Xenopus tropicalis: one gene and its partner. The protein of the gene in region 1 purifies or fractionates together with the protein of each later gene. This does not show direct contact. Links are inferred from orthologs where the notes say so. Each region holds a gene or a part of one and is shown on either strand. Other genes may lie near its edges. The genes, in order: gnb1 and pfdn5.

Evidence for each region.
Region 2: the proteins of gnb1 (region 1) and pfdn5 purify together in Homo sapiens (co-immunoprecipitation; 3 studies listed by BioGRID and IntAct, with this or other methods). This does not show direct contact. The link is inferred for Xenopus tropicalis from reciprocal best matches to the Homo sapiens genes GNB1 and PFDN5.

What each region holds. Positions count from the first base shown.
Region 1 is NC_030683.2:91,940,257-91,944,079, forward strand, and holds part of gnb1 (guanine nucleotide-binding protein G(I)/G(S)/G(T) subunit beta-1), read left to right. Parts: intron 1-1,937; coding exon 1,938-2,100; intron 2,101-3,823. UniProt on the Homo sapiens protein: Guanine nucleotide-binding proteins (G proteins) are involved as a modulator or transducer in various transmembrane signaling systems.
Region 2 is NC_030678.2:147,137,740-147,142,166, forward strand, and holds the start of pfdn5 (prefoldin subunit 5), read right to left. Parts: upstream 2,864-4,427; 5' UTR 2,843-2,863; coding exon 2,771-2,842; intron 2,529-2,770; coding exon 2,426-2,528; intron 2,341-2,425; coding exon 2,309-2,340; intron 1,787-2,308; coding exon 1,712-1,786; intron 1-1,711. UniProt on the Homo sapiens protein: Binds specifically to cytosolic chaperonin (c-CPN) and transfers target proteins to it. Binds to nascent polypeptide chain and promotes folding in an environment in which there are many competing pathways for nonnative proteins.

The DNA of each region.
Region 1 (3,823 bases):
TGCCAAAATGTTAGGCACCCCCAATCGCTTACCTTGTACCCCGGGCTGGTGCCCCTGTTAGGAGAAAACAGCACCAGCCCGGGGTACCTGTAGCGCAGCTCTTCCTCCTTCCGCCTTTGCTTTTGGAAGGACTTACGACGGGCGCATGCGCAGTAGAGTGAAAATCCGACTTCTCTGTTAAAGTTCGGCTTTTCACTCTACTGCGCATGCGCGCGATGACGGAAGGATGAAGAGCTGCAGCTACCCTGGCTGGTACTGATCTCTCCCAACAGGGGCACCAGCCTGGTGTAAAAGGTAAGCGATTTAAGTCACTTGGGGGTGCCTAACATAATTTAAACAATTAACTAAACCCAATAGGATTGTTTTACTTCCGATAAGAATTTGCATCTTTATTGGGATCATATACAAGGTACTGCTTTATTATTGCAGAGAAAAGGGGAATCAATTTAAAAATCTGAATTATTTGATTAAATTTTGAGTCTGTGGGAGGCAGGCTTCCTGTGATCAGTGCTTTCTGGATAACTGATCCCATACCAGTAGTTGTATTTAATAATTAGATTAGCTTAACCTGTAGTTGCTTATTTGGAGAGAGTTAAATATATTTTTAGAAAAATGCCTCTTAAAATCATAGCTAACTTATAGTTGTCACTTTGTTGGTGTGCAGTGTTCAGACACTTTATGATATCCTGTGCAACTATGTGCAGCCTTCTGGCTGGATTTTAGGCAGCCTGGTTTCAATCAGCTTTGAAGCATCATAGCCTTTGAATTAACAGTTCACTGGTGCAGGAAAGAAACTGAGATTTAGAGTAAACCAGCAGTAGGTTTCACATTAGCCTTTATCCTTTGTGGGCTTGTTTTAAATATTTATACAGTCTGTATAATTCAGATAATTATTGTTGAGATGTAATCCGCATTGTGGGTTACTTTAACTATCAGGAGAGAAGAAAGTTAGTTCACTTGATTGTAGTAACGTGTAGTTGTTTTATTTTTTTGCATTTTTGAAGTCTTAGAATTATTCAACATTTCTATTTTGAAATTTTAGGATCTCTGGTTTCTGGGGTCTCGCCATAGCAGTTAGTAAAAATGGAAAATTAATAACGAGTTTTTTTTCTTGCTCATGTAGTTGCTGACCCTTACAAATAGAAAGCACTTGCAAGCTGGAAAGAGTCGGAATTAACTTGAATGATTTTTGTATTAAAAGAACAAACCATTAGTTGCCCTTTCAGTACTGATATATATTTGAGTGTGCATAAATGTTGCTAATTTTCATTATTCATGCACAGTTCTTGGTAACAATCATTTTCTCTCTGTGAGTGATTGTGTCACTAATTCTAACTCTTGTTGTAGATAGTATATAAATGCTTCAGGCTGTACCTAGACTATACAGGTACATGTATAGGACCCGGTATCCAGAATGCTTGGGACCAAGGGTATTCCAGATAAGAGGTCTTTCAGTGATTTGGATCTCCATACCCTAGGTCTGCTAAAAAAAAAAAAAAAAACAGTAAAACATTAATGAAACCCAATAGAATTGTTTTGCATCCAATAAGGATGAATTATATCTTAGTTGGGATCAAGTACAAGGTACTGTTTTATTATTACAGAGAAAGAAAATTAATTTTAAAAATCTAAATTATTTAATTAAAATGGAGTCTATGGGAGACAGGCTTTTCAGTAAGATGGAGTTTTGTGGATAACAGGTTTCCGGATAACTGTTCCCATACCTCTACCAATAAGCATTGAAAGGCTTTGGCGTTTGGGAATACTGGAGTTGTAGTGTAACAAAAATGTGGTTGAAAATTGCCTAAAAAGTTGAACATGGGGTAGAAATAACGTTTTTTTCCCCTCCTATATCTGATCATTTTCCTGTAATCAGAGAATCAGTATTTCCCTTTTAATGTGTTTATGAGCTCTCCTTGATAATTTTTCACATTTAGGTTCATGCCATCCCGCTGCGTTCTTCTTGGGTAATGACTTGTGCATATGCTCCCTCTGGAAACTATGTTGCCTGTGGTGGTCTTGATAACATCTGCTCTATTTACAACCTCAAAACTCGTGAAGGAAATGTGCGGGTGAGCCGTGAATTGGCTGGGCATACAGGTAAGGCTTCTAAAGTTTAACTATAATAACTTATTGATAAGTGTGTAACCTAGTAATATTTTGTTGATGAGTAGGTTCCACTGAAGACATTGGTAAATGGCAAAAGCTTAACCATATTAACTCATCACAGCTGCCTCCTAATGCTCATACACTGGCATTATGAATAACATTTGCTACTTTCGCACTGGCTGAGGTGACATTTCAGATTGACTCTAATGTATCTGCAGCCTACAGGCTGGCAATAAAGTGATTCTGTCATGATTTATATGGTTTTTTATTTACATAGCAAATAATTCACTCTATCATTTAAAATGTTATTCTTGAGCCAAGAAATGTATTTTTTTACAGTTGTAATATTGGTGTGTAGGCAGCCGTCTCAATGAAAAATTCTGTTGTGTGATTCTGATGTGTTTTGAAAAAAACCTATTTTCCTGTGACCGTATTAATTTAAGGCAATAGTTGGAAGATTTTAGTATTACAATAGCTGTTGATATTATGCTTGTTTAAGAAACCATCCAAATCCCTTGTATTGCTTTAAGGCAGTGCTGTCCAACTTCTGTTGTACCGAGGGCCGGAATTTTTCCGACGTACGTGGTGGAGGGCCGATAATGGAAGCCAGTTTTGACCACTCCCCTTTTTGAAACCGCACCCACTTGAAACCACACCCATGTTATCACATGACCATACCCATATTAATGGTTGTAGTACAGCAAAAACCTGCCATACTCTGCCTGCCCTACCCTGCCTGTGTGTGCCATACTCTGCCTTCACTACCCTGCCTGTGTGTGCCATACTCTGCCTGCCCTACCCTGTCTGTGTGTGCCATACTCTGCCTTCCCTACCCTGCCTGTGTGTGCCATACTCTGCCTTCCCTACCCTGCCTGTGTGCCATACTTTCACTGTGTGTGCCATTCTTGGCTGGTTTGTGCCATACTTGGCCTGTGTGTGCCATACTCTGCCTGCCCTACCCTGCCTGTGTGTGCCATACTCTGCCTTCCCTACCCTGCCTGCGTGTGACATACTTTCACTGTGTTTGCCATTTTTGGCTGGTTTGTGCCATACTTGGCCTGTGTGTGCCATACTCTGCCTGTGTGTGCCATACTCTGCCTTCCCTACACTGCCTGTGTGTACCATACTTTGCTTGCCCTATGATGCCTGTGTGTATGGCACCCACAGGCAGCCTACAGTGACAAAATGCTGGCACTGCTCCTACAGTCTGCACAATAACTATATATTAAAAAAACTTTTTAATTGAAGTACCACCTCAGTATATGTTCTTTTTGTAGTGTGCAGGGATTATTTGTGGGTTTCTACTGCTCCTGAGGTGTGAACAGGGGAACAATGGGGGTGATTACAGCCTGAGCCTGAGGTGTGAACACTGCAGGGGGTGAACAATGCAGAGATTAAAAGGTGTGAACAACACAGGGGATTACATATTTAAACAATACAACCTGATTACAGCCTGAATCTGAGGTGGGAACCATGCAGGGGGGGCAGTTAATCTCAGTACTGATACCACTTAGAGCTTACACAAGAGTAAGCCATCAAAGCAGCCAGACAGGTGGGGGGCCACACAGAGGGGGGTCGCGGGCCGCATGCGGCCCGCGGGCCGCCAATTGGACAGCACTGCTTTAAGGCATCCAAGGGGGGGCAGGCCTAGGTAGGACTGCTTAGCCTAATGGCAATTAGCAGGTAAATATTGGTTGAATGCGGTCTTGCATAT
Region 2 (4,427 bases), on another chromosome or scaffold:
TTTGTGTGACCCACAAAATCTTGTCACGCAACAAGCACAATGTTTTGTATGATCCTGTTTCCGTGTCTATATCAGACATGTATTTTAATGAGAAAAAATCTCTTTCAGACACTATGAGATTTTGTCTGGTTGTATGAAGACACAGCAGGCAAAGTCGACTACCAAAAGGCACATTGCATCTGATGGCAAAGCTTTCATATAGTTTACACATCAGATTTTTCTATCAGTCCCATTATTTTTTAACCATGCAACTACATTCGACAGGATGCGATCTGTCAAACCAACACCATTCTACAAAATCTCATGTGAAGTTCAGCCCTAAGTTATACCAGTGGGTATATGTGCCCTGTAAAGGCAAATAATCACAATATGCCTTCAAAATTAACTAAGCTTTAATCATACCATATATCTTTCCGAATTCATGAATCTCCTTATATTAAAAACTTACACTACAAGTGCCCAGTGATACATTTATCAGAAACAGATACCTACAGATCCTGTCAGCTTAAAGTGCACTGCATTCATTATATTTTGACTGAGTAAAGATGGCCATACACGCACTGATGATACTGTACAAAACCTCGTTTTGTATGATATTTGGTGCGTGTATGGCAGATCGACAAGATGACCGTTATTGCAAAGGCTGCGGATATCGGTTGTCTCATCGCTCAGCCGGGTTAAAAGATTTTGACTGGGCGCCATTGAAGGCGCCCGAACAAAACCTGCGTTCAGGGCTGAACCGGCAGGTGGAGGTAGAATTCCTATTGTTTCTACCTTCACATCCGATGACTCTGAATGTCAGTGGGGGAAACGAACGATCTTTCCTGCAACTCATGGTCGCAGGAAAGATCGGAATTGCTACATGTATGGCCACCTTTAAAAATAAAATAACATCTTATCTTGGTACTCTGAAACCAAAATATGTATATATTATATAATATATATATATATATATATATAGTGGTTACAAAGCACACTGCTGTTAAATTGCTTAGCTTAACATCCTCTGCTGTAGGCCTAACAAATTCCTTGCAGAGAACTGCAGCTGCCTAAGTCTCCCACTTTGCAAGCAGACAGTTTAACAAAAAAATACTTTTTCTGGGGTAAAAGCACATAGGCCCAGGTTCACTAATATATATAATATATAATAAATATAAGTGCTTCAAGTTATTTTTTCAGTTATAATAAGTGCCATCACTTCTAGAGGTAAATTTCTCTGAGTGATATCAGCACCAAATTACCTCTAGAAGTGATATGGCTACATTGTTGTGAATGTATTGTGGTATGATATTAAAGGGCAACTAAGTAAGCAAGTGTGGATTATTATTTACCTATACAGGGCTTATGCATATGTACAGCAGCTTTACACAAGTAGTCAAATTTCCCTATTGCTGCTTTTCGCTTTCCTACTGGTCTAGCCAATGGTCTCTTGGGCAAAACTTGCACAAGTTCTGCCAATCTTAACTGCGAGAATAACCTGTGCATGTTCCAGAACACGCTAAATTTTAAAAAATAAAAATAAACCAGTTGCTTTTAATTCAACCAATAAAAATTAAATCTGTTTGTCACACCAGATGGTTTGAAGAGTAGCAATAATGTGTTATGTATAGTTAGAAATATACTAACAAACTTTTGCGCAAGAAAATGTTAACAGTAGGTTGCTCATCACAGTCACACCTTAAGCTAAAAAACAAACAAAAAAGTAGCTCACCTTTTCCACATAATATCCAGTACCCACATCGATCAGTATATTTGACACATCATTAAGAGTCCCAGGCACATACATCTACATGAAAGGTTAAGGGGGAAAAAACCCACACACCTACTGTTCTTCTTTAAACACTGTTGTGCAAATACTGGTTTTCTATTTTTTTTTGCTCATTAAAAGGGGAGTTCACCTTTAAGATAACTTTTGGTACATTGTACAATGGCCTATAATATTAGCAACTTTTCAATTGGTCTATATTTTGTATAGCCTGACTGACTGTATACAGTACATTTTTGTCCAAGTACCCAGGAAAAACACACCGTGCTGCTATTCTTGACATGTTTTTCCTACACTATAACAACCATCATCACACTCTTTTAAGCAGTCACCTAAGCAGTTTAGCCATTTAGTGTTTAAACTTTGGATAAAAATGCATTACTGTTTAGTAGATTTTTGACACTTAGCTTGCTACAGACTTACAACGTTCCTTACATTAATAATATAATAAACAAATAGAAGAGAACATACTTTAAAACTGGAAGCAGCTCACTGGTTTTGCCACCATATGGCTTTTTCATAATATAGTGATGAAAAGGATACAGAGCTGGTCAGGGGAACAAGCAGTTGCTTCCCTGTCAGATAAACACATACAGGTTATTAGAGAGAGGAACTAAGCCGACTGACACACCCTACTAACTGGCTGCCGCTGTCACTCACCTTCATTGCTTTTGTTCAGCACACTCAGGCACTCCTTTGCCTCCACATACTTGGTCTGAACCACCTTTAGCTGAGCGATGGAGGAGGACAGGAACTCCACTTCCTATGAAAGGAAAAGGCACATAAGGAAGGCCTTACTAACCCTGTAACCCCGGAGTATGAGCAACACCAGGCTGGGGCGGGACAGCAAAAGCTGCAGTGGGACTCTGGGAGTAAGGGATCCACAGCCACGGGGTGGCCAGAACTCATCCAAGCCAGTTGTGGGACACTACGTTTAGTCGTGGGGAAAAACCAACACAGAGGCATCCCCAATTTAAGACGGCAATGTAAGATTAACTAAGATACCTGGTCCAACTGACTTTTCAATCCCTCCAACTGCGGCAGAGACAAGTCGGTAATGTTCACTGTCTGCGCCATCTTGAGAGAGGAAGAACCCCGCCTTCCTACTACATTACTATAGTGACTGTCTAGCTGGGAAACCGTATATTGTTTGGCGCTCTGTACGCACGGCTAGCGCTCTATGATAGTCCGGAGGCTGCGACGCATGCGTACTAACATGTAAGGGACCGTGTACTTGGCAGATGGTCCGCTTGCTAACATGATATTTATAAATAAGTCAAATCGCAGAAATATATATATATTTTTTTTAGATTTTCTTTTTCTTATTTTGCAAAGAGAGGAATAAGTGCAAAAGTACACAAAATGCTATTGTTACATTAAACTACCTCATTTCTACCAGTAACATGGTATTTCAACAATCAATAGAGAAGAAAGAATAGAGGAACATATAGAGTAGGAAACAAACAGTAGGAAACGGAAGAAGAGAGACCCCCCCATAACAATATAATATTTTAAGAATCTATGCAGTAGGTTAAGCACTGTTTTTTAAGAAATTTTGAAATTCACTAAAAATTTACATTTTGCAGTCATGTATCACACATTCTTGTGTACAAAGAAAGATTAGCCATAATATGAATGCTCATACATGAAAATAGTACACATTAAAGTTCTACAGGCAAAAGCAAGTCATCAGGACAATGCAAAATGTAGTCACAAAAAAAATACTTTAACTTGACTTGCTGTTGTAGTGTCATCAGTCCCAGACAGTGTTGCATTTCTTAAAAAATACATAAAAATAAATACAAAGTAATGCCTTTTTGGTCTTTAGGCAAGTGAGGAGGAGGGAGCAGAATTTGTTTGGTTAGTTGGTGGATTTAGTTATTCCAAAAGAGAGTTTTCCACCCAACATTTAGTAAACCCGAATGGGGCTAATTGTTTGTGTTGTTTTCCCATTGACAAATGTGTCTAGGTATTTGTTCCAAACGCTATAGAACAGTGATCCTCTTGATTATTAATCTTGAAGAGCTAAGACCCACTGAAGTTGCACAGTATGTAGAAGCTTATGTTCTCGTAATTGCTTTGATGGGGGTTGTGTTGCTGTCCAACATTACGGGATTGATTTGACTGCTTTTAATACAAGTATTTCTGCCAGTCTAAGGTTACCTTTCTTAGCTTTATTGATGGGCTTCGGTATGACCCTAGAAGTATCTGTGGGTTACTGGAATGTTGCATAGCATATTAATTTGTGTTAAATCCTCTTCTTAAAAGGCATCTATTGCAGTGAAAGTTCATAGGACATGTTCTAAACTGCCTTCCACATGGGGGCAGCATTGCATTTCTTTTTGCATCTCCTTTTCAGAGTTGACATGCTTCAAAATACTGATTGTAGAATATGTAGAATATGTTGGCACTTAATAAATAAATGTTATTAATAATACTGCTCTCTTCACCAGTACTTCTGCCAGAGATATTCTTTGGTCTCCCCACAGGCACCATGATAGCATTTCACCTGCTAGACTCACACCCCTCTCAATGGGAAATAAAGTACTTTGCTGCAGCTACATCTACAAACAGAATTCCCCCTCAGCCACATGGCTCCATATCATCCCTTATGGTGGTCATACATCTGCGATATATCTGCAGCTTATTGGCCTGTGTATGG